Drosophila melanogaster: one gene and its partners. The protein of the gene in region 3 interacts with the protein of the main gene of each other region in a pairwise test. Each region holds a gene or a part of one and is shown on either strand. Other genes may lie near its edges.

Region 1 (6,285 bases), on a different chromosome or scaffold from region 3:
ACCCCTCTACAGTCATCTACATCCAGGATATGTCAGGAAATTGTAGTCGCTGCATACTTATTACAGCTCCAGCAGGTGTCTGCCAGACAAGGACGAAAGCGGGGGTGGGATTCAAATTCAAAATTCACACACACCTGGCCCCATCCACGCCCAGAATCGCCTCCTTTGTGCATGGTACTTGGAACACGAGTTTTAGAAACAAAAGTTTTGGTTTTGGTTTCTTCGTTGTCCCAGAAGTTTGTAGAAAAGTGAAGGAAAAAGACTAGGATTAGTTAACCATGTGTGTTGTTGGCGAGGACTTATTTGCGCCACATTGTATAGGTGTTAATAATCTCAAAATTAAATTGGGGACTTTCGAACTGAGATTATAAAAGAAGTCGATCTATTCGGTAAAATCTAATTTGAGAGGAAGAAATAAAAACTTTAGATTGTTAATTAAAACCCATGTTAAACAAGGCACCCTGGCCACTTGCAGTAGTTCATATTTTCGGATGTCAATATCTAAATAATTTGTAGAACTCTTTCGGACAGTTGTAACTAATGGGAATTTGGATCATCCTCAAAGCTTTCTGGTAATTTTAAATTCTCCTATCAAACTTTTTTCCTCGCACTTTCAACGATTTTCTTCGCTATTCTCCGCTTTTCCTGTGGATAATTGCCGAAAAGTTTTCGTCGTGGCATTCAAGGAATCGCACTTTGATTTGTTGCAGCGCATTTCAGCTGATGGCGGAGCAGCTGCAATTCATTTAAGCGGATCGGGTGGTAAAAATTGCGTAATGGCATAATTATGCCTCAGCCCCATTTCTCTACCCCAGACCCATTCATCAGCAAAAGTCTGAGGCGTAATTGAGTTATTTAATGGAAAAGTTGAAGACACTATCCACAATTTAAGATGACTGGCATCCGCTGACATTTAGAATCTAGCGTCTATTGGATAATTAAGCCACTTTGTGATAGCTTTGACAGCCCTGACTTTCGGTCCTGTCACATCGTGGCCAAAGATGTGGTCCCTCCCCCAGCGAATTTGTGACGCCTCTGAGGACCCAAAAAACTGACAGTTAAAGTTCAATTAAATTCCAGTGCAATCTACCTATTTTCCCGACATTGAAATATTGAAAATTATGTCAATTGGGATTTCGATTGGGATTGTGTCGCCTGCTTATCTGACAGAATGCAGAATGCACTTCGAAACTTTTTCCGCCCAACGCTGGCAAAGTTGCTCCTTTCGATGGCCAAATGGAAATGGGGTATTGTTGGGGTGGTTGATCAACCACCGAATGTCAGCTGGAGGCCAGTTCGAAACGGACAACTTATGAGGACCTCCGGGAAAAGTAATTGGCCATGCATATGCGAAACTCAAAATGATTCAAGCGCATTTTGTAGACCAAATTGCATACGTAAATCGATGTGGAATGTGGCTAAGTGGTTGTACCAACAAATTTGGCACAAAAGTCAGGGTTCAATAATGCAAATCAAGTAATTGATCTGCAGCTGAGAATATATCATTTCATTTGTTTCAAATCGTAGGGTTACGTTTTCTGTGACATAAAAGTATTTGGTTAGATATTTTGCATGTCACTATTAGCAATAATATTATTATAAAACTGTATTATCTGCGTGGAAATTATATCGGTTAGCAAAATCGGTAGCCCTTAACCTTTGATGAGGCCCATTGCGATGAGGCTTTCTAAAGAAAGGTGCACATATATAGCACATAGTGCTTGCTGAAATTTTTAGTGGTCTCACTAACTCGACTTGAGTTCTTGGTGAAATGTTGTATCCCAGGGACCTGTCGCAATCTCGAGTTCTTCACAACTGGCGCCCAACGCGCGGACCCTCCTGTCACTCCATTTGGACGCTGTGGTCGCAGGAGATTCAGATTCTGCCAGGCGGTGGCCAAATGCCACCACAGCTTGTAGCAATTGTCGTACCATTTGTCAGACGAATGTGGATGACACTCCTCCTCCGAAGGACACGGCGCCTGCGCCGCCAGGACATCCCCCCGCCGGCATCTAAGAGCTATGCGTTCCACCACGTGCCCGCCATGTGGATCGCATTCGGCACATGGTGGACGGCGTTCGATTCGAACATCCACTTCGACAATTGGCAACGAGGGTTCGTCAGCAGGACATTCGGGACGGCTGTTCGGTTTTACAGTATCCAACGGCTAACGATTACGACAGGACTTCGTGTCGCTTCGTTCGAAGCTCGTGCCATTTCGGTGCCGTCGATTTGTTCGTTTTCGGTCGTCCTCGAGGCCACAGGATGCTTATTCCGGCAGCTGCATCTTCAGTTGATCAACGTCGGCGCTGTCGGCTGGTTGAAAAACAGTCAAACGGAACTCGAAGCTGCACTCTCGGAATACTCGCGTCTTTAAGAAATAATTATTAATATAAAAAAAAAAAAATACTCTAAAGCATATACATTTGGGTGAATATTTTTTTTAACATTTTTTTAGTGCAGTGAAACTGTTTTTTTTTTCTCCGCGTGACGATCGCAAATGTGTTTGTGTTTGTGAAGTTATTGAAACCAAATGCCAGTCTCGGCGAAACGCTTACTTCGGAATTTTCAGTTCACCAGCTGCGATCGGAATGGCAAAATGTTGATTCACCTGCTGCTCATCGTTTCGCTTCTGGAAGGTAAAAGGATCATTAGATCATTAAAAAAATATCGAAAAACGGATTGTACAAAATGTTGAAAACTATTGCGTGTGTTCTTGATTAATACAATATTTCGAATTGAAAATAAAAAAAAACCCAAGGCCGAAAAGAAATTCCTTTACAATTCGAGTAAATTGATTTTTGGTCTGTCATAGTTTCTTCATAAATTCTTCACCTAGAAACTGTTAAAAGTTTCCGACAAACTTATTACCTATAAAGTAAAGTACTACTTAAAAATCGACGCTGATAATAATACTAAAAAGCTGGAAAATGGTCATAAATAAAATATTCTCTTATTCAAAGTTTAATTTGTTTTAGTATGTAATATTTTCAAAGCGGATCGTTTTAATTACCGTCGGTCCGCTCATTTAAAAAGAATTCAGAAATATTCTGCATCAATTAAAAATAAAAATTTATCAACTATACTTCAGTATAAAAATCTGTTAAACTTGTTCAATCAGCTGAAAACTTAATTTTTGGTGCTGCGTAATGCAACCAAAGTATTACATTAAAAAAAAATTCAGATCTGGTCAGTGAGCTGGCTTTTGGCCTGATCCGTTTGAAGAGTGCTTATAGGAGTTATCGGGAGCTTATCAGGTGTTTATCGTAGCCGCATTCTGCCCGAATGCAACCCTGCAATCAGTGTTGTGCAGCGACGGAAACGGAAATCGAACGGACGGACGCAATCCGGCGGGAAAGCGAACGCAAACCGACTTGATAATTGTTTCGCCGTATTGCGGCGCCCTATTGAAACCCCTAAATGATAGGTAGAGCGGGGAAAACAGGCGATTAATAACTGCTGGAGACTGCTTAATGCACTGTCATGGATACCATTCTCCATATTGCATTTTGCCCGCTGCATTGTTGCCATTGCCATTGGGCATTAAAACGTATAAATAACAAACAAATAAATAAATAAACAAAAGACAACGCGCAACATCGAAAACTGAACGCTGACCATTCAATGGCGATTTAATTGACTCACTCATCCACTTACATTTACATTTACATCTGCACTCACATTTTCAGAACTGATCCCACTGATATCAGGATTCGAGCCAAATCTGTTCAACGCGATTACAGTATGTTTCGAAACTATAGAGCGGCTTAAAACACAATGATAGCCGGTAATGATAGTAAATACAATTTTTATTAAGATTTTTAAAATGTTTGTTGAACAAATGTTTGTCTCTTTCATTAAAACTACCTTCAGATGTCGTTTAATTTTAGCGATACACTGTCTGGTCACTGAATCGTGCGCACATATTTCTCGCCTCATTTTAATTGTGCAAAAATTATGTTTTCACCTTGCCCACTTTCCCGCCGTTACTCCCTCCCCCCCCCTTACCACAATATTCCCTGGGCAAATTTTCACCTGGCCGCCGGTGATTGCTGTTCCGATTGTCTGACCATCGTATGATAATTATAAAAAATGAAGTGCCAAATTGTTCACGTCGGCGCGACAATCACAAATACTTTCCTTCCTCGCATTAAATATTTACGGCACGGTCTTTATTGTTTGCGATTCAGTCTAAAAACAGTTGGCCCATTGTTTTATTCCCCAGTCAATGTGGTTAAATCGTATCATTAATTTTGATTCGCTTGGGGCTTTCCGAATGGGCCGAAGTAGATTTTCCAAAATCGGTGGGGCTGTTAACCGAACTAATTCCGAAATCAGCTTTATTATGACTCAATAAAACTTTAATAGACAAGCCAGCACTTATAAGAACAATGCGTGCTAAACTGTTTATTATGGCATATAAATTGAGAACCGAATACTTATGCAGTTCAAAATGCTTGTACCAATACCAAAATGTTTGTACAAAATCGTTTTAAAATATTACAATTCGCTTAATATTAAAGGTTATTTAAAATATGAACCGACCAGCCTTTGGATCAAAATCTATTATTTAACACGTGTCAATGGTGCGAAAATGCCTCGACAAAACCTCAGGAAGTCCAACTAGTAGCAAAACTATTCCCATAATGTTGATAATTATGCATGGACGTGGCCCACGCTTCGTGGGCTCGGTTCGCATAAATACGAAATACATACATACATACATGCATGCAGATGTGCATATTTAAAGCACTTAAATCACGGCAAACAATAATTCCCATGCGACGATAATGCCGCAGATGGAAATGCTGGATGTAGGATGTAAAATGGCAGTTGATAATGATAAACATAAAAGTGAAAATAATTTTCAATTACAGCAACATTAATAACCGATAATAATCCTAAGCAAATATAATGTGCATGTGCGTGTTTGTTACTGTGTGTGCATATCAATGATATGCAAATTAATTGCCAAACACCGACACCCACCGCCCCGCCCCCCAAGGACCACGCCCGCCCACCGGATGTGAAATGTAAGCTAAACCGCAGTATGGCCAAATGGCGGGAGCGAGATAGCGCCATTAATGGCCATTCTGTTGCCGTCCCACGAGTGACTTAATTGATACCAACAGCACCGGCCGTAACCACGATTTTTTGCACGCATGCACGGTGAAATAACAGAAAAAAAAAATATGCTTCTCTCACTTCAATTATTATTTTTGATAATTGCTATTTATAAATATCATTAATTTTTCATTAAATCCGCCTCCAAAATCCTTGAGACTTAAAATTCTTCCAGTTAAAATTGCGTACTTTTAGATTCTTGTGGCACTTGAAAGTGTCATCATTTCACATTATTATGTTTACTGTGTATTATGCACTTCTTTTTTCAAGTTTTAACTCACAACTCCCTTTATCCTGCACTTATCATTTTTTTCTTTTTGTTTTTTTTTTGTCGGCGGTTCTTTGGCTTTTAGCGCCTGCGGTCAGCGAGAAAAGCCGCAGACGGAGTTACTATTTTTTTGTTCGCCGCTTTACTGCGAGAAAAGTTGCCCTATGCCGAAAAATGCACGTAATTTGTAATTAATTTTATGTGACGCCCAAAGAATAAAATTCGAAAATAGGCGAGAAAGAAATTTTTTGGATTGAAGTAACCGAATCGCAAGAGGATGAGAGATGGAATTGAAGGTTTATTAAAGTTTTGTTGATTTGTTGAACAGCAATAACCAAAACAATATTAAATAAATTTTTAAATATTTTGTAATCGAAAACGAAGAGAAGGACCTGTCTTCTCGGACGGAAAACTTTGTCAATTATAGGGCAACCCTTTTCAAAACACAAAAAAAAAATATTGCAGGAAAGTGTGAAACAGAAATCTAGACACAATTAATTGCGCGACATTTGTCAGGGGAAAAAAGGGGAGAAGAAATTTAAATTGAATTTTCGTCGGGGAAAAGTGTAAGTTCAGTCGAAAACGATTTGTAAAAATGCTAATTTTAATGCCAACCGACAGTCAATTTGCCGGCTTTTTCTTGATGCCGTTTTTTTGTTTTTTTGATTTTTTTTTTTTTTTTCTTCTCCCAAGTCATTTGTTTGTCTTGGCCAAAGCATGACTTTAAGGCCAAATTCGTTCTTTGTTTCAGCTTAAGTTTGTAGCAGGCTCGGTTTTCTTTGGGTCTGGAAACCAACTCTGTTTGGCTTTCAAATTTGCCATTATCACCTATCATTGGTGCTTTGCCACTGGATTTGTGGGCCTGTTCAAGTGTGAGGTCATAAAAAACGAAG
Region 2 (5,801 bases), on a different chromosome or scaffold from region 3:
TCTGGATTTTGGTCACCACGGCATCCGTTTCCGCTTGCGTGGTGAACGAGGTCTCCTGAATGGTGGAGCGCCGCGAGAGATTCGGTCCCACGCGAGCTCGTTGAAAGGGCAGAGGTGAAGACATTTCCTGCGGGTTAGGTGGAAAATTAATTAATAAAAAATTCATTCAAACCAATTATCGATACTTAAACGCAAAGTAAGCAAGGGGCTTCGGATACTACTCATGGAATTTCATGTTTGTTAACTTAAAAAACATACAACTATTTCCTGAAGGTCTCAGCCTATTTGAATTATCTATTATTAGCCTCTTACAAGTATCTACAATCAGGATATCTTGTTGTAATCACTATATCAGAAGGTAATTGCGTATTTTTTGTGCGAAAGAACGACCTACTTATGCACATTTTTGATGATGCTCACAGATTTTTCGATGCGCACCCACACGTGATTTGCCTATTGATTGCCAACTATGGCTGTAGTTTCTCTATCAAAATCAATCTTCAGGTCATTTCATACTCACCAAGTGTCCCCTGGAGGAGGCCGACAACAATGGACTGGTAGAGATGTTGTGCAGCGTGGGTTGCTGGCGCTCCTGGAAGGCCCGAATTGCAGTCAAGTTGTTGCTGGGATGGACGTGGTACGGCGAGCTGTTGTGCGACGTCTGCGGCTGACTGACCAACTGCTGAAAAGTACAAGGGTTCCCATTCGAATAAAAAATCAATAAAATGCAGGGTAGGAAGCGGAGGTTACCTGCAAGGCTATCGACTCCGTGGAACAGCGTTCGTTCTGCAACTGCCTGTAACTGCGGCCGCGCGGATCCTCCAGCTGCATGGCCTTCGTCAGATAGTTTATGTAATAGCTGGAACGGGAAGAAGGGCAGCCGAATGGAAGATGAGCTTCTATCAAATCAAAGGTCAGCAAATGACCTCCCACCCAGGGCCATTCGAAAGCTCTTGGATTCAGGCCAAGGGTGGAGGCACATCCTAAAGCCGGCCGGTTGGTGGTGGACTGGATTGGAGTGGATTGGTTTGGGATTCTCCCCACATGTTGATGGTCCCTTGGGAGGACGGACAGGTAAAGGGTGAAGGAACCGCCTAAACCAAGGCACGTGCCAAGTAGCTGCCAAAAGGCGGACGCACAGTCGTCATTTTCATCGTCGTTTGACAGGCCATCTCTGCTCTGATTTTCGGAATGGAGAGGGTGGATGTCGACGAGGACGTCGTGAGGATGGAAAGCTCGTCTTCGGTTGAGTGGCCTCTTGAATTAACGTATGACAACGTATGTTGCTTAATTGCACATGGCTTTTTAAGCATAAGGGGTTAAGTTATATGTATATATGTATGATAGGCTAAGGAGATGTTAAAGACCCCGCTGGCATCCGACGACGCGGAAGTGACACAATTTATGCCGCTGAAACGAGGCCAATTGGAGTGGCTAAGGAGCACTAAGCTAAGTAGCCCATAGGGAACCACATGGTACCCACACGCTGGGTCTTTAGAGTTCAGTAAAATTGTTTTGCGTATCAGTAATAATAATTTAAATTTAAATTAAAACATTTTCTTCAAACATAAAACATTTTGAAAATTTTATGTTAGAAAGTTCTTTCGATTATAAGCTGAAGAAAAGTTAGCCAATATCCAATCCAAGCTTGTACTTCGTTCCATTGTGTGTTAAATGAATAATTTAAATTAGTACCGAGCTTGCGTCCTAAGAGTTTAAATACCAAAGGTGTTTCAAAACTAAGTTCTGCAAGCCACCGAACTAACGAATAATTTCCTTATCACTATAAGGCCAAACATGGCAAACACCACCTCAACCGGACGCCTACCACCCAATCATTTTAAAGTAAGCGACTTACGCCCCCAAGGCCCCCTACATACACCCACAACCACACACCCAACCATAATCCTTCGCCCACCGAAAGAGCCACCCCAAGCGACGTTGGCACGCAAATTTATCAGTTGCCCCCGTGGCAACCTATCAAATGGAACCCCTATATCCCACAACTGGCCACCACATCTCCCAGTACAGTCCGCATTTCACGACATTGTGGTTAATGGATGCATAAATATTTATGACGTCGGGCTGTGCACATGCAACTCACCAATTTCCAGTTGCTTGATCGTATTTGCAGTCCCAGCCGGGCGGCATTTTCTGATAGCCACCGGATTCGCTCATTTTCACCGCTCACGAATAGATACAGATGCAGATACAGTAACAATTGCACTTGCAGATGCGAGGCGCTTCGATGCCCAGTTAAACCGAACGACCGTCGTTTTATTATTTTCGTTTTCTGCCTGAATGTTTATGGACGTTTAAAGTCGCATTCGCAGCTTGTTTGCCGACTGTCTGCAACCCCGAAAAGTTGGCAGGCAGGAGTGCCCTTGCCACTTATCCTGCGCGGAGCTTTGTAGTTGCCTTTGTCGTCGGATGTTTCAGATTTGGGGGTTGTAACCACCCTCGATGGCAACCTCTCCTCGGCAGCAGAGTTATTTTTGTTTACAAGGCACTGCCTGCCGGGAAAAAGGACCGCAACACACAGATACACACGCTCACACACACACAGTTCGATGTGGCGTGCCGTTAGTAAGCAAGCCAGCCAGGCTTTAGCTACCCGGAAAGGAATCGTTTTTGGGGAATCCTGGAGTCGCGACGCTATAAACAACCTCGCGAGCCAAGCTTTGAGAGTCAACTGAGGAAATCAGTGGCGGGCGTTAAAGCTTCAGATGCTGTGCGAATAGTCGTTAAAAAAGCTGGTATCCAGTGTTGGAATTTGCCCGTCGAAAGCTGTGCGCCAAACTTCGATTCAGCTTTCAAACAGGCACACAATTCGAATTTAGCTCCCCCGTCAATTTTCCAAAAATTTCACCTTTGATTTACGCATTTAGTTCAGCTACAACTACACATCGGCAAAATGGCCGAAATCTTGGCACGCTTGACGCGTGTTTCGGAAAACTACCTCCAAGAACTGGAGGAGGAGCCGGAGCCACAAGGACCGCCCAAACTAACCAAGGCTCAGAAGAAGGCCGCCAAGAAAGAGGCCAAGCGACTGGCTATGATCGAGGAGAAGCGGCTCATCATGCGGGTGGGTTCAACTAACTTTCGCAGAGTTTTTATTAAGGATGAACCTAAGCAAATCCTTAATATTATTAATTTTTATAATAAAAATAATATATTAAGACTATATTAAAATTGTAAACGCATCATTTCTAATGTTGCGCCATGATCCTCTCAGGATGCCCTGATGCGCGAGCTGGAGATGGGCAAGCATATGGAGGAGAAAGGCAACGAGGAGTGGCACGAGATGTGCCGCGAAATCAAGATCAAGGAGCTAAACGAGGAGATGAGGGCTTGGGGCGAGCGCTCGGAACGTAACATTCAGGCCAAGAACGACCACATCAAGATGCTTCTGGACGACATGGCGCAGACGCAGGATCAGCACGTGCGTTGCTACAGCAAAACGGTGGAGCTGATTGATCACATTCGCGACTGCTTCCACGTGATGTTGGGCGGGGTGAAGAGCATGTATGACCAGCAGGCTGACGAGATGCTGAGGGATTACTATGAAGAGGTGCGCCGGCGCACCGAAGAGGTGGAAGCCATGAAAACGAACTCCGAGAACATAATCCATGCCACCAACATCACCACCCGGGATCAGCTGAAGGAGGATTACACTATCTACCTGGAGCAGCGCGACGATCGCGTGAATACGGAGATTGAGAACAGATTTAAGATTCGAGATCAGATTGTCCGCCGGATGACGCACATGCAGCAGCAACTGAACGACTTCGTGGAGTCGCTGAGGAGCACCGAACTGGATGCCCACAAGTACGAGAAGATCCACTGGCTGACGGAGCGGCAGGCGGCTTTCATGGAGGAGTCACGCAAGCTAAACGCCGAGGAGTCCAAGTACATCAACATGCAGGCGGAACTGCAGCGCGAAATGGTTCGCATGGATGCGGAGAACAACTCCACGCTCAACGATCTTCGCCTGGAGTTCCAGTACTTCACCAACGTGCGCAAGAAGATTGAGCTCAACCAGGAGATGGATCGCGAGATCACGCACGAGAAGTTGCGCATCCTGACCGGCGAGTGCTACGAGTTGACCAAGGTGAACCTTTGTCCCAAGCCCTATTACCCATTTCTAAATTGAAATATTATTCCAGCAAATGGAGAAGCACGTGAAAAGTGGGGAATTACTCTTGGCCCTGTCGATCACTTGCAGGAAACTGCAAACCGAATCGGAAAAGGTAATCCTCGGCGGCGAGGTATTCGACGAAACCGAGGTGGATGTCGATGAATACTTCAAGCTGCAGACTCTCAACCTGAAAGATCACGTGGACATGACCGAGGAGGAACTCGTGGAGCTAAACAAAAGTCTCAGGAACTTCTGGCGCCGCCAGGCGATGGCCGAAGCTCAAAACCTGCTGATGCTGGAGGAGAAGCGTCGCCTCACTGAGGACAATCAGCGCCTGATCGACTTTATCAAATCCATGAGTGTCACCGAGGATCCGGAAGAGCTGCGAACCGCCATGCATGTTTCATCGCCAACTCAACCCATGCCACCCAAACTTTTCGAGACAAAGTGCCAGGAATTCAAGTCCAGAAAGGTCGTGCATTCACCGACGGCACACAAGGAGGCCAAGTGGGAGGCCGAAGCCACTTTGAATGAGGTGATTCTGGACTTTTGAAAATATGTGGCATTCAAAGTTATGTTTAAATATAAAAATGAGCTCAATTAAATTGAATAATAGTTAAATTAATATATTTACCTTGTTTGCAATCGCAAGAAAAAATGCTATAAAGACAAATATTTGATTATCGAAGAGTATATTGTTTATTTTAATAGTTTTGAAATTGCTGAACACAGCATGGGTATCTCAAAGTGCCAAAATCAATATATTTTAAAACAGATAGTTTTTGTTTTAAACAGAAATTTAGCTGTACTTCTACTTATGTATATTATTTTGCAAACTGCAAGTCTTTACTCTACTAAATATTGCTAATTCCCTAAAAGAATGCCGAAGCTCATGTTTTTAGTTAATAAGAAAGCTTGCGTAGTTAAAAACTAAATAATAGGAGCAACGACAGACTCTTAGGAGACTAGAAATATGTTTTAAGTGCAACATGGAGATATGTAACTAGCTTTAGTTCAGCACCAGTGCAATCTAATCTAACTGTTGCAAATATCAATATTTCTCTCAGTGTAAAGTGTTACTGTAGTGCTTTGGTCCATCAAAATGCAGAGGCGTCTTCAACATATGGCAATGGGTATGCTTGACTCCCTAGTGTAAGTCCACCAGTTCTTTCGAGTTTAAACAAAGCTCAGGGGCTTAATCTTCAGTATTTCCGCCAGGTTGGCGCACGTCTTCAACTGATTCTCCAGATACTGTATACCGCCGGCGGCATCGACGTCAGCCATTCCCTTCTTCTCCTTGTCTCCAGCCAGCAAAACGGGCTTGCTGGGATCGGTCTGAAAATGTAAGTATTTCAATTGAAAATAAATTTTGTAAACATTTTTGCAAACTTTATATAGAAGAAATCCTAAAAAAAAACTTATTCAAATGTATACAAAAATGCTTATCGTAATAATTTTCCAGAAAATTTAATATTTTTTTTATTTGTTTTGAATACATTTGAAGATATTAAGATTATGGCGACGAGAGTGCCAGTATCTATTTTATATATGCATTTGTATGTATTTTTGATAAGATTATCAAATAATTTATTTCCAGGAGAATATAGATTTGTATTCAAATTTCAAACCTTTTTTTTTTTTTTTTACTTGACTAACAACAGTT
Region 3 (6,138 bases):
CCTGACTATTGAACCGACGTGTAAAAAACGGAATAAAGTACTTGCGATCCATGCGCCCAAAACGATCGCGCGCTTGAGTAAAGGTGACGTCCTCTTCCTCGGTGAGTTCAGACAAGTGTTCAGAGTCGATTGCCTGGCCCCATTCGCGAGTTTTCGATAGGGAAATAGATTTTGAACGCTTCCTACCGCTGCCGTTGCGTCGACCTCCCTCCTCAGCGGCATTCCTTCCAGAGCCGCGTGCCCGCCGTTTTTTTCCTGGCTTAAGGTACTTTAGCAGAGGCATTGTGGAGCCCCCCAGCACTAGCGTGGTAAATAGCACAATGATTAATCTGAAATTTTAATTCTTCAATGACTGAGCATTATTTTACAATCCGGAATATGCTTACGTTGTTGTTATGATGACGTGTCGTTTCTCCTGGCTGTCAAGATTCAAGTGCAAAGATAGCGCGTAGGAAATCGCTCCGCGTAGGCCAGAAAACCACATAATGAACTGCATCTTGTTATTGATCTTATGCTCGCGAAATTTGTTGACCAAGAACGCGAGCGGAAAAATATTGCAGGCGCGGCCAATTAAGCAAAGCACAATGGCCCATATAACAAAAGATAGTTCAACTTGGTGTTTAAAAGAAAAGATTGCTAATCCCAGATAAGCAAACACGCAGGTCTCAGCAATGAAAGCTAGTGTCCTCATCGTCTGCTGCATGGTAATTTGGGTAACCTACGATTAAAAAAGTTTTAATAATATATAAAATAGGGATATCATATGACTTACAGTGGATAGGTTGAAATGCGTGTAGTGGGACATGACGATTCCGCAAAATAGTATAGCCATAATACCTATAGTTGAAAAAAATGTTTAGCTTTTAGAGTCATAGTCAACAACATTGATATACCGCTTAAGTGTATTCCCTCTGCCAAGACGTAAGGTGCGTAAGTAAACATTAGCATCATCGCGAACTCGAGGGATGGATGCTTTCGTAAATCGATGTGCTTCAGAAGAAGAGCCGAAATTAGTGCAAATATGACTCCAATGCCCGCCGAAGCAAAGAACATCGCGCAAAAGGTCTTCAACGCGCTGAACATGGCTTCTCCAGTGCTGGCCTCAGCATTGACGTTAGCGGATTGGGTTATGGATGCAGTCAGCACAATAGATATGGCGTCGTTGAGGATGCTTTCGCCGAATACCAACATGTTGAGTATGGGGTCTACGTCAAGAGCATGGAAAATTGCCACTGTTGCCACAGGATCAACAGCAGAGATGAGAGAACCGAAGGCAAAGGATTCCGAAAAGCTTAGGCTAAAATTTAGGATAAATTATTGAATGAAATTGACAATTTATTTTAAACTTGCCGAAATGCCACCTCCCCCAGGCCCAGCAGGTAAATCCCCGCCCCGATGACTAGTGCAGAAATTGTTGTACCGAATATGGCAAAGACCAGTATGGATCCGATGTTCTGAAAGAAGTTTCCCTTGTGCAGATTGTAACCGGACTCGAATATAATGGGCGGCAGGAGCACCAGAAAGAAGCCCATGGGCGAGAAGACCTCTTCACGTTTCCAACTGCCATTCTGCCCAGACATAACGTTCAGCGAAAGGCCAATAAAGGCGCCCAGAAAGACTACCACAATGCTTTCTGGCAGGTACTGGAACCCGGTCTGGAGCATAGAGTGGATAAGCAGGATGCCCAACATGATAACGCAGATGACGAAAAACAGTGAGAGTGAGGAGTTGTGCTCCTGCTCGACAGCATGGGAATCGATTAGAGGCGGATCTGTGACCAATGTGGATGCGTTTCCCCTTTTCGTGGTGCTTGCATTACCAGATGCAGAAATCGAGGGCGTGACATTTCCAAGCGGACTGTTGACGAAGACATCCGAAACGGTGTGGATAGAGCTACTATTATCTGTAGTGGTGGTGTTGCTTGATGTTTTGCTTTGGGGCACCTCCTGTCCACTGATGCTTTCCGGACCCGCGTGCACCAACAGTAAGAGTGCAGCTGCACTATAAGCTACCCAAACCCTCATTTTTGCCGACAAAACGTGACGTGGTCGCTATTAACGCTCGCATTTAACTTTTCACTATTTGTTCAATTTGTTTTTTCACAAACATCTGTTTATCGCCCTATCTGACGTATATCGGGGAGAGTTGCCGTATCATTTTGGCTTATTGGCGCGTGCCTTTCATATATTCAAAAGAAAATTGTGCACTTAATTGCGTGCAGTATATTTTACCATATAATGAATTTATTTAAATAATTGGCTTTTGCCCAGTCATTGTAGCTGATAGCTCTTGTGAAGTGTCTTGAAAATTGAGCATTTTAAGTTTAAATATTTTTGTCTACGTATTGAGAACGTTTCTTACGGCAAAAAGAAAATTATATATGTATTAGAAAAGTGAAATAATAAAAAACCTTGTTATTGGCAAAGTGATAAATTGTTTAGTTAAGGCTATTACAATAACTGACGATAAATCAGTAAAATAAATGCATTGCCACAATCTACAGTTCGCAAGCACCCACCATTTGTGCTCAAGAATAATGTGCCCTGCGCATCTGTTCGTTCAGGCACACGCGATCTTCTTAGGCCCCGTGGGGTCACACCTTATTTGAAAGATAATGGGGCTTGTTGTTTTCGGTTATATTCAGTGGGTATTAGAATTTTAAAAAATGTACATGCAAAAACTGATTACCAGGCTCCTTGATCTTGGCAGACCTTGTTTGTCTTCTTGGCTGTGGCATGACGTAAGCACTTTTTCAAAAGCACAAATTGTTCGAATAGTATGAGAACCCTAATTGACGACTTTCCTTGACAAGATAGTGTCGAACGATCCATCTCCAAAAGGGCAGTCACTCCATGTTAGGGAAAAGCTAGGGTTTCAACAGATACAGACATTCGTTTAAAAATTCGCTTCGAATTGCGCTTCGTGTAGCGATTGTCTATATCATCGAATATGTATATGTCAATTGCTGTACATAAGAGAAGCCGAGAGAGCAATGCTAAACAGATTTTAAAAATTAGGTATATAGGTGGCTGCCGTGGTAGCACATAGTTTTGTTCTGATAAGCTCTTATTTCTTGCCGACTCATCTTCTCAAATGCTGTCTACAAAAATTTATAAATATTATTCGTCTGTAAAAATCATCCGCAGTTGAACGCAGGTTGAGCAGGAAGCTAGTCGAGACTATAATCCATATCTTGTCTGATCCTTTGTTCAAAACCACAGTGAGTATAAAATAAAGGATCTGGATCTAGATTCACTACAGTTCACTCCGGAGCGGGGTGGCAACGCTGGGCGGCGGAACAGCTGCTTAAAACCCAAAAACGTGGAGATACTGAAGAAGTAAAATCATTTGAGAGTACCGAGAACGCTAGGAAAGTTTCCCTAAAGAGCGCCCAAATAAGTCTCAAAATAATAATCGAGTCAGCCGAAGAGAACCGCCTCCTCCGTTTGCGACGATAAGCAAAAGCCCGCTCTCTCGTTGGAGGTATAAATTCTGAATGGCATTAAAAAGTTGCGCTCTTTTTCTTCAGAACCGTCGCTAAGATAGGACGTGTGTTGGCTGCGCCGCTGATTTGGTTGCCGTCGCTGAACCAGTATAACTCAGAATCAGTGTGTATAATTTGTTGAACTAATAGCTAGAACGTCGAACACGCATTTTAAACAGCTAGCAGCACCGAGCCCTCACCTAGCGACTAGTTTAGCTTTGAACCCGCTCAACGTGCGTCTCATGTATGTAGCGACGATTGTGGCAAACGCGCAGCATAAAAACATAAAAGAAGGGCGATTATATAAAAAAAACTATAACGAAAAGTGTGCGAATACCGGAAAATCCCAACAGCCTCGAGGCGGCCTATAGCTTAGATTCGCGAATGCGAAAATAGATGTGTTTTGCAAGAGTTCGGAAAATCAATTTCGTTAAGCGTTTTTTAACAACCGCTAATGTGGCCTCTCTTTCTCTCTGTTCCCCCAGCTCCACCAACAATTTAGCCGACCGGAACTCGGGTTATAGCACTGCTCCCCCATTGCCCCTTCAAACTTCGAGTTACATATTACAAACTACCCATCAACATGCCGCAAAAGACAAACGGACATAGCGCCAACGGATGCAACGGCAGCAATGGCAACTCATATGACATGGAAGACGGAGCTACATTCCTGTTCACTTCCGAGTCCGTTGGCGAGGGTCATCCAGGTGAGTGCTTCATTGCATCTGCGGCGCCTCCTATTGCATCATACCGATAGTGTCAGTGTAAAAAAAGAAACAATCTCAAATGCCCCTTCGGGCGTGGTGAGAGATGTTGCCTGTCAGTTCTCATAACCTGACCAAACTGATTCTCTAGCGTCTGAGGCCCTTCTGTCTGAAGTCCCTTTCCCTGTATACCCAGTTCCACACCTCCACCGTCTACTCACTTCTGCTTACCGCCTGAACTCTAACAAAATGGCGACGAAATTATGTCCATACCTTTGTTGATTTCTACCCAATTTGCACGACTTGAACAGAGGCTGAGAACGGGAAGAAGAGCTAGTAAAACGTGCCTCTGTTGCATCGCCCGGTGACCAAGCCGGAAAGCTGGGACCACGGAGAACAGCTGGCTTCTCTTGAAATCCCCGCACAACAGCGGGCTAAACCTTGTGCTTGGATGGGCAGACGCAATTAATAGACTGGTTCTTTATCGTTTGCGGCTCTCACATATGTATGTATGTGTGTACAGAGAGACTACGTCATGCGCACCATGTGCTTGTGGCTCATGGGAGATGCGAAATTCAAGTATTCTCTACGTTGTTCTACGTTGTCCACGCACTTGTTCATTTGATCGCAGATGGCGATCAAAACAACGGCCAACACAAACATACCTTACATTTTTCTAGACCGCTGTCAAAGCTTATTTTTTTCACCGAAATTGCCAACCACGTGTTTTGCTCGAGCTCGATCTTTTCGCCCCTCCCAGAGTTTGTTTATATCAGCAGTGGCGACCAGTATAGTAGTGTGTTTGACAACAGCTGTTGATAAGCCGAGCGACCTTTTATACTACGCATTGATTACTTTTACTATTCTATACTATTTTATTTTATAATGCTAATTAAGTCGGCTTGGCAAGCTAGCCCTAGACAATCTAGCCCTATACAATCGTGATGATAAGCGCCGAGTGCCATTCAGAAGAATACACCCCAAATGGTTGACATTAATATCGCCTGTCTTTTTGTAATAAATGAGTGACGGACTTGTTAGAATAGATAATTAGACTAGCCGGAAATTGGAAACCCTGAAACCCATTTCAGAGTAGCTACTTTAAACCCTTGACCTAACTAGTTTCCTCGCAATCATTATCCCAGCCGAAATCGATACCATGCGCCATTTCTATGAGTCAACAGTTTTGGTAATTTATGTTGCTATTGCTGACGCATGTTCGAGTTCAATAACGCCTTTACTACGAAAAGTAGCCGAATGTTGACGGACTCCAATTACGCGCCAAGTTTTGAGGCAAGCGCGAGCAACCCGACTGGTATCAGATGAATCCGACTCCCAGGATTTCATGGACGATTCGGCTTCAAATGTCATCATTTTGTGTTTGGACAACACTACGGTCGCCTTATGCTCTTGTTCTGGGAATTGAATTTCGCTGTCAATAGCAGACAGATTAAATGAAACCGCATGGCCCAGCAAATTTTGATCCGTCGCACTGAATAACATTTTGGCCCGTTCCTCCTTCCACTCCCCGACAAAAATGCTTTCCCCTCCTTCTTCGCCCACCTCTGGCTTACCTCTTGCTTACCTTATTTTTTTTAGACAAAATGTGCGACCAAATCAGCGACGCTATCTTGGATGCCCATCTGAAGCAGGATCCAAACGCGAAGGTGGCGTGTGGTAAGTGTTATGAAACCTGGAGTACATGACTGCTCTGACCCAAAATCAGATTTATATTAAATTCGGCCAATGAAGGTGCGCTGACCAACAATAAATAATCTCATTCATAGAATTAATCAAGAATCACCGTGAGTGCCATTCTTTTTGAAGTTGACTTATTCGATAGCGCCAACATAAAAAAACAAGGTCAAACCACCGGCAAATCTGTTTTTGGATTACCTGAAAAAGTTGCCGAAATTTCTTTTAACACATTCCATAATATTTAATACAGAA
Region 4 (6,065 bases), on a different chromosome or scaffold from region 3:
TTTGGCTTCCTGGCAAACAAACTCTTCCTGCTGATGCTGAGTGCCCTAACTCTGCCAGGAACTTTCGCTTTTTATGCCAGTGTGGCATTCTTTGGAACCGTTGTCCTGTACTTTACGCTTCCAGAGACAGAAGGTCGCACACTGGGTGTAAGTATACACTACTTTTTCATTTTTTACTTAAGTTACTTAACTATATATTTTAGGAAATCGAAGCTCATTTCTCCAAGAAATCCGATGTGAATCTGCTTCGCAAGCAGCCCAGCAACAAGTTACCCATCAAGGATGAGGCACAATTCCCCGGGAATACTATTAATATGCAAGGTAACTTCCAAGTGCCCATCACATCGACGCAGCAGACAAAGATCATCCATTTGCAACAGAGCGATTTTACGCCGCGTTCACAGAACGGAAGAACAGCAGGAGTTGGGTTGTCCAATCCTGCCTTCGAGGAGAGTAACACCACACATTTGTGAGGGGCTGCGAGTGGACTGTGTCATCACCTAAACATTCTTTAAAAGTGCTTAACATTCCAGTGATATTTCTGAGAAATAAACTTAACAATTTAGTTTTATGTATATGACGTGGTTTTTATGTAACATGTTTAATTCGAAATGGGTTTCGTCTATTTTATTTTTAGGTTCAAGTAGTCTTTGTAATGATTCACTACCAACCTCTATCTAAAAACCTTTAAACGTTCGTGGATAACAATAATAGCATTTCTTGCAAAGGTTTACTTATCAGAAAAAACTATGCACTATTACCGACGGCAATGGTAATGAAAATGAGTAATGTCCCTTAAAATTATAAAAAAATGTAGTGCCAACAAAAACGATAAGCTCAAGTTCATTTAAAATTAATAAGTAAATCTTAATTTCTCAGTGGGGAAATAAAACAAAAACCTTTTTCAGCTTTTAAAGTTACAATTGGCGTAACAATGCATAAAATGAAGGCTAAAGTAAAATTAAATGAGCATGTTGGATTATCGGTTTATGTTTCAAATAAAATATAAAATATCCACAATCATGTCTCAAGGTATAACTACATTTATGTGAACTCGACTTTTAACGTATTTTAAAGCATGCTTATAAGTAATATTGTATAACACATTTCCATGGAGATATATAATTGTATAGATGCATCAAAGGCGTTCGCAACAATCGGATTTGTTTCTAGGTCTCATCGTCTTGCAGCTCAAGGAATTGTGTGCAGATGTCTCGACTGCACTCGCCTTTATTGTTAAATAGGAATTTATAATAGTGGCCGTCTGCACAAATGGCTGTATAAGAGAACAAATGTCGATTAAAGAAATCTCAGGGAAGGATCCACTCCATTTCCAACTTACCCACAACCGAATTAGGATCGGCGCCAAAGGCACATACACATCGAGGTCCCTGGGGTATTGAAAACTTGACAAAACTCCACTGGCTCGAGAAATACTTGGGTATTATGGGCAGCGAGGATTCACGGGGCTTGTTGTCCTCCAGGTTGAAGACGTGTATGGTGCCATGATCGGAGGCGACGACCACCATTGTGGACTGGTGGTTAAAGTTGATGCAGAATATGTTGGCGTGGTTGCTTCCGCGCCTCAGCTCTGATACCTTCTTGCCACTTTCCGTATCGAAGATACGGATGAGGGTGCCCTTTTCCCCGGCGGTGGCTAGTCGCGTGCCTTGCAGATTAAGGGCAATACAGCTGATACCAGCCTCGTGGGCGATCACCTCAAGCGGCGCCCGCTCTGTGTTGGCCAGATCAACAATTTGAACGTGGCCAGTTCGACGGCCGGGGAATGCGAGGAGGCTCTTATTGCTGTGCGGGCACAGCACACACAGCCCGTTGGGATTTGAGCTGGTCTCAAAGACGTGCAGCTGCTGTGGTTGCTGAGTGAAGGTGAACACCTTAATCACGCCCTCCAACACGACCACGATGCGATCCCGACGCAGTCGTACCGCCCGCACGGGCTGATTGAAGTCCAGCGATATGGCCGGGGACTTCTTCAGGTCATCCCACACGATCACCTTGTTGGGCGGGTACAGCGGCCGGATGCCGCCTCCAACCAGGGCTAAGTAATTGCAACGAAACAGCATCTCCACATGGCTGAGACCACCTGAATCGGAATTGTAGACAATGGAATTTGTTTTAGGCCGTGGGAGTCTCCCGCACTCTTTTTTTGACAATCATACCCTCTGGAAAGTATTGGCGCTCCTTCTCCTTCAGCGGATCACAGTTGTAGACCCGGAATCCGGTGTCCGTCGCGCACGCGAAGCATCCTGCAACGCAAAAGGCCAGTTATATTATACCGATAAGGTGTATCGTGTATATGTAAATAACACACATCCGCACATATGTACGTACCTTGGTCTTGATTGAAGGCTGCGTAGAGCAGCCCGTTTCCATATGGGTTTTGCTCTGTGAGGTTCATTGCACTCTCCGGGGATGCTGGAAGCCCGGGCTCTGGTGATTTTCAATACAGTTGCTGGGCAGGCAGGAAAACAATTGCTCGGACGGCGGATGATTGTGTTTTTTCGTATAAAAACAATGACACAGTGTTGAGTATCGTCGAAAAGTGGCCGGGCGGTGAATCGATAACTTTCAATGAGGAAAGACGATCCGCTAAATCGGGATATTTTTGGGTTTAAGAACTTCTTGCTATGAGTTTTTGAGTAGTTACGTAACACAAAGAAACATTATAAATAATCTGCAATGCTGTTTTGGATAAGGTTTTTTTTAAAGCTAAAGATCTAGCTATTATCGGTAGTATCTAGATAATTAGATACTGCCAGCATCACTACCACCCACAATCCTTCACTATCGACCGACGGGTATAATTTTGCAACACTGTCCAAGATGCTCCACCTCCAATTTCACAGAATAACAAAAAGGAAAATGGTCGCTTTGTGGAACGGATTCCTGTAAAAATTGAATATATGCTAGCGCACCATGGAGTTCAGTGCGGATCTGAATGGCTTCAATGAGGACTCCATCGAACCCTGCCGGACTTGCGGAATTTACTTTACCATGGGAATGGACATGGACCAGGCGATTGTGAAGCCCATTTTCGGTTCGGATGACGCCGCCGTCGCAGATATGGCGGAGATTCTCGAGCAAATGAATGATTGGAACATAAAGGTTGGTAGTAGTGGAATCGTACTATGTGTACCTAACTTATGTCCCAAAGGTTGCGAGGGAAGACGGACGACCGCAGTACATGTGCATCGCTTGCATTGCCGAGTTTCACCGGCTGATTAAATTCAAGCGCAGCTGTGTGGAGACACAGGAGCAGTTCGGCGAGCTCGAGTACCAGCGCGAACATAATGGCATCGTTATTAAACGGGAAATTGAGCCGGAGGAAGAGAAATTCTGCGGATTTATATATCTGGATACCGACGAGGAGGATAACAGCGACGAGGACGGTAGTAGACGCGTGTGTGCCGTCTTCGACATACCGCATGTGCCCATTAAGGAGGAACACATGGCCCGAGTGCCATTACAGAACAGTGACAAGTTTCAGCCACCCGAACCCAAAAATTTTGCGTCGCCAGTCGACTCCAGATTCGACATGATAGACAACGATGCGTTAACGTCCGGCATGTTAGGACCGTCTATTGAGGATCTCTCCGGGACGGTCGACGATGGCACCGAAGATGAGGAGGAGGAGGAGGAGGAGATAGTCAGATTTACATACGATGATGACAACGATGCGGCAGCCCCGCTTCCGCCCCCGCTTTACTCGCCGGTTGTGTGTTGTAAGCTATGCTTTTACGAATCCCCCGACCAGGATGCGCATATGGAGCACATGCGCCGCACCCATCTCCTCAAGGACTGGGAATGCCATATTTGCGGCAAAAAGTTCACAAATGCCCAAGAATCGCGCATCAAGTTTCACATCAAGTATCACAAGCTACAGCGGCACGTTAAGTGTCCCGTTTGCGGGTTCATCTGCAGCTCCAAGGAGACTCTCAAGGAGCACAAGCAGGCAGTGCACGTACGCACAAAGTGCACATACTGTGGAAAAAGTGAGTTCAATATTCTCACTTATAAAACTAATTTATCGGATTAATCACATTTACCTTTGCAGCTGTGAAAAACGCCACTCTACACGCACATTTGAAAAAGCACTTAGAAGGTCAGTAAGAAGAATTACAACGGTTTTATTTGTTTATAACTTTACACTTAATGCCCAGAGGGTGAAGCCGAACTTGCCCAGCAACTGAAAAAATTGGAGCAGCTTCCAGTTAACCTTCAATCTCAACATTTATCTTCACTGGAAAGCAGTGTCGCCGAAGTCACCACGGCTTCTGAGGGCTCAAATATTCCTGGGGAATCCACTGTTCCTGAAGATTCTAATGTAACCGAAAACTCCAGTGTTCCTTCAATAGAGACTTCCAATCATGCGGACATTCAATGTCCAATGGGCCCACCTGCAAACGGAGAAGTTCCTGATGTAGCAGATGTAGCTTCACCGTCAACCGAGCCAACTGAAAGTGTCACTAAGTGCTCATATTGCAGCGACACATTCGAGAAGGCCCAGCAGCTGCAGGCTCATGTGCTGGCCACTCACACACAGACAAGAAAGAGGCGTCGCTCTTCAGACAACCAGTCATTAGTGAGAAAGACCACGCAGGAAATACCTACGTCGCCCATTGCAAAGATAACCAAGAAGCAAACCATCGAGTCCAAAGAAAGAGTCGTCCTAGAGTCTTCTTCTCAATTAGATAGCACTGCCCAGCAGGAGAGCAGGACTTCAGCGACCTCTAATGACAGCTCTCCTGTCCAACAGGTGCCAGAAAAAGCGTACATCTCGTGCTACATTTGCGGCAGATCCTTTGACTTAAAAATTAAGCTTAACAGACATCTTAAGCAGCATAAGGGTTAGTATCGTTTCTAGCGTATAGCCATTATTCCATATTAATTTCATTTTTCTAAAAATGTAAGAGTATTGTGCATCTTATCATTTTCCACTGGCCTGCCAAATGCAAACGTTGAAATTTGTTATTTAAATTTTCTTATTTTTATATAATTGGTTGGCGAAGTACTTACATTCGAATTTTAATGTTTAATAAAATAGAAACCATTTTGCATTTGCCTTTTATCCATACAGAGTTGGAAAAATGCAAAGCACATTGGTTTTTGTATTGCAAATAAACATGGCCCTTCTGGTTTCATCTGAGTTTTATTGGGTCTGTATATATATATATATATATTATTTTTTATAAACTGTTCCATAAAATTGGTTGCTGGATGGGACATCTTATCGTTGTCCATTATATTTACTTAGTACAAAGCAATATTTGCGATCTTTCTGCTTACATAGATAAATTACAAGTGTTGTTTAAACAAAATCGAAGAAAGTGTAACCGGTAAGGATATTCAACGTGGTTACCAAGCCTCTCCGCTCCTGAGCCTCCTAGTTGCCACTCCCTGTGGCCGTCTTGAGAACCGTAGCCGGTATTAGTTTTGTAGTCAGCGTTTTTGCTCCTGTTTCGCCGGCTGCCGTGGTCACAGAGATTTTTCCTCCTACCGCTGCCCCACTTGCCGATGCTGCAGCCATGGGTATCACTTTTAAGCTGGACAGTGGCTTTAGGTTCATGCCCTGCAGTCCCGGTGAGAAGAAGAGCTGTCCGCCGTTGCCTTGCACGGCGAAAACGAGATTGTTGCTAGGCGTTGCCGTCGCTGTCGCAGCTGGAGATGCTGTCGTGGAGCTGTTTACAACGCTGCTGTTTGCTGTACTAGTGATTTGCTTGTTGGCCACCAGTACGTTCTTGGCCAAGCGCGGTCCTATTAGCAGCGTTTTGGGTGCCGTCGTTATGCCGCTGGTGGAAGTAGTTCCACTATTACTGGTGCTACTGGCTAATCGCAACAGTTGGTTGCCCATAATGACAGTCTGAACGGGTGCGCCGGCACCTCGAGCGGAAATCTGAAAATTTAACATTGAATTTATAAATAATACTATTCGCCTAAAATCTCCCCAAATAACTTACCGCTCCCTGAAGCTTCACTGTCTGACCTCCAATCACAATATTCTGAGTTGTTCGCCCGGCAGCATTAGTCGCTCCCGTTCCCGCAAC

The links.
Region 1: the proteins of Sam-S (region 3) and DIP-alpha interact in a two-hybrid assay, tested with the Drosophila melanogaster proteins (one large-scale study listed by BioGRID).
Region 2: the proteins of Sam-S (region 3) and CG10510 interact in a two-hybrid assay, tested with the Drosophila melanogaster proteins (one large-scale study listed by BioGRID).
Region 4: the proteins of Sam-S (region 3) and E(var)3-9 interact in a two-hybrid assay, tested with the Drosophila melanogaster proteins (one large-scale study listed by BioGRID).

The regions. Positions count from the first base shown.
Region 1 is NC_004354.4:3,526,669-3,532,953, reverse strand, and holds the start of DIP-alpha (Dpr-interacting protein alpha), read left to right. Parts: upstream 1-2,288; 5' UTR 2,289-2,533; coding exon 2,534-2,639; intron 2,640-6,285.
Region 2 is NT_037436.4:21,207,108-21,212,908, reverse strand, and holds CG10510 (uncharacterized protein), read left to right. Parts: upstream 1-2,824; 5' UTR 2,825-2,914; coding exon 2,915-3,085; intron 3,086-3,235; coding exon 3,236-4,111; intron 4,112-4,166; coding exon 4,167-4,691; 3' UTR 4,692-4,761; downstream 4,762-5,801. Other genes in the region: CG10508 (uncharacterized protein), read right to left, coding at 1-127, 521-682, 751-859, 2,105-2,178; CG10512 (uncharacterized protein), read right to left, coding at 5,315-5,473.
Region 3 is NT_033779.5:104,619-110,756, forward strand, and holds the start of Sam-S (S-adenosylmethionine synthetase), read left to right. Parts: upstream 1-2,284; 5' UTR 2,285-2,382; intron 2,383-3,142; exon of another isoform or gene 3,143-3,146; 5' UTR 3,147-3,220; exon of another isoform or gene 3,221-3,728; intron 3,729-3,969; 5' UTR 3,970-4,067; coding exon 4,068-4,191; intron 4,192-4,975; exon of another isoform or gene 4,976-5,132; coding exon of another isoform or gene 5,133-5,175; intron 5,176-5,787; coding exon 5,788-5,865; intron 5,866-6,136; coding exon 6,137-6,138. Other genes in the region: Nhe1 (Na[+]/H[+] hydrogen exchanger 1), read right to left, coding at 1-329, 387-718, 773-837, 894-1,297, 1,351-2,024. UniProt on the Drosophila melanogaster protein: Catalyzes the formation of S-adenosylmethionine from methionine and ATP. The reaction comprises two steps that are both catalyzed by the same enzyme: formation of S-adenosylmethionine (AdoMet) and triphosphate, and subsequent hydrolysis of the triphosphate.
Region 4 is NT_033777.3:8,989,738-8,995,802, reverse strand, and holds E(var)3-9 (enhancer of variegation 3-9), read left to right. Parts: upstream 1-2,853; 5' UTR 2,854-2,937; coding exon 2,938-3,126; intron 3,127-3,175; coding exon 3,176-4,013; intron 4,014-4,075; coding exon 4,076-4,123; intron 4,124-4,181; coding exon 4,182-4,873; 3' UTR 4,874-5,158; downstream 5,159-6,065. Other genes in the region: CG31100 (uncharacterized protein), read left to right, coding at 1-147, 204-473; CG11975 (uncharacterized protein), read right to left, coding at 1,170-1,276, 1,343-2,104, 2,181-2,267, 2,353-2,419; CG11970 (uncharacterized protein), read right to left, coding at 5,405-5,914, 5,979-6,065.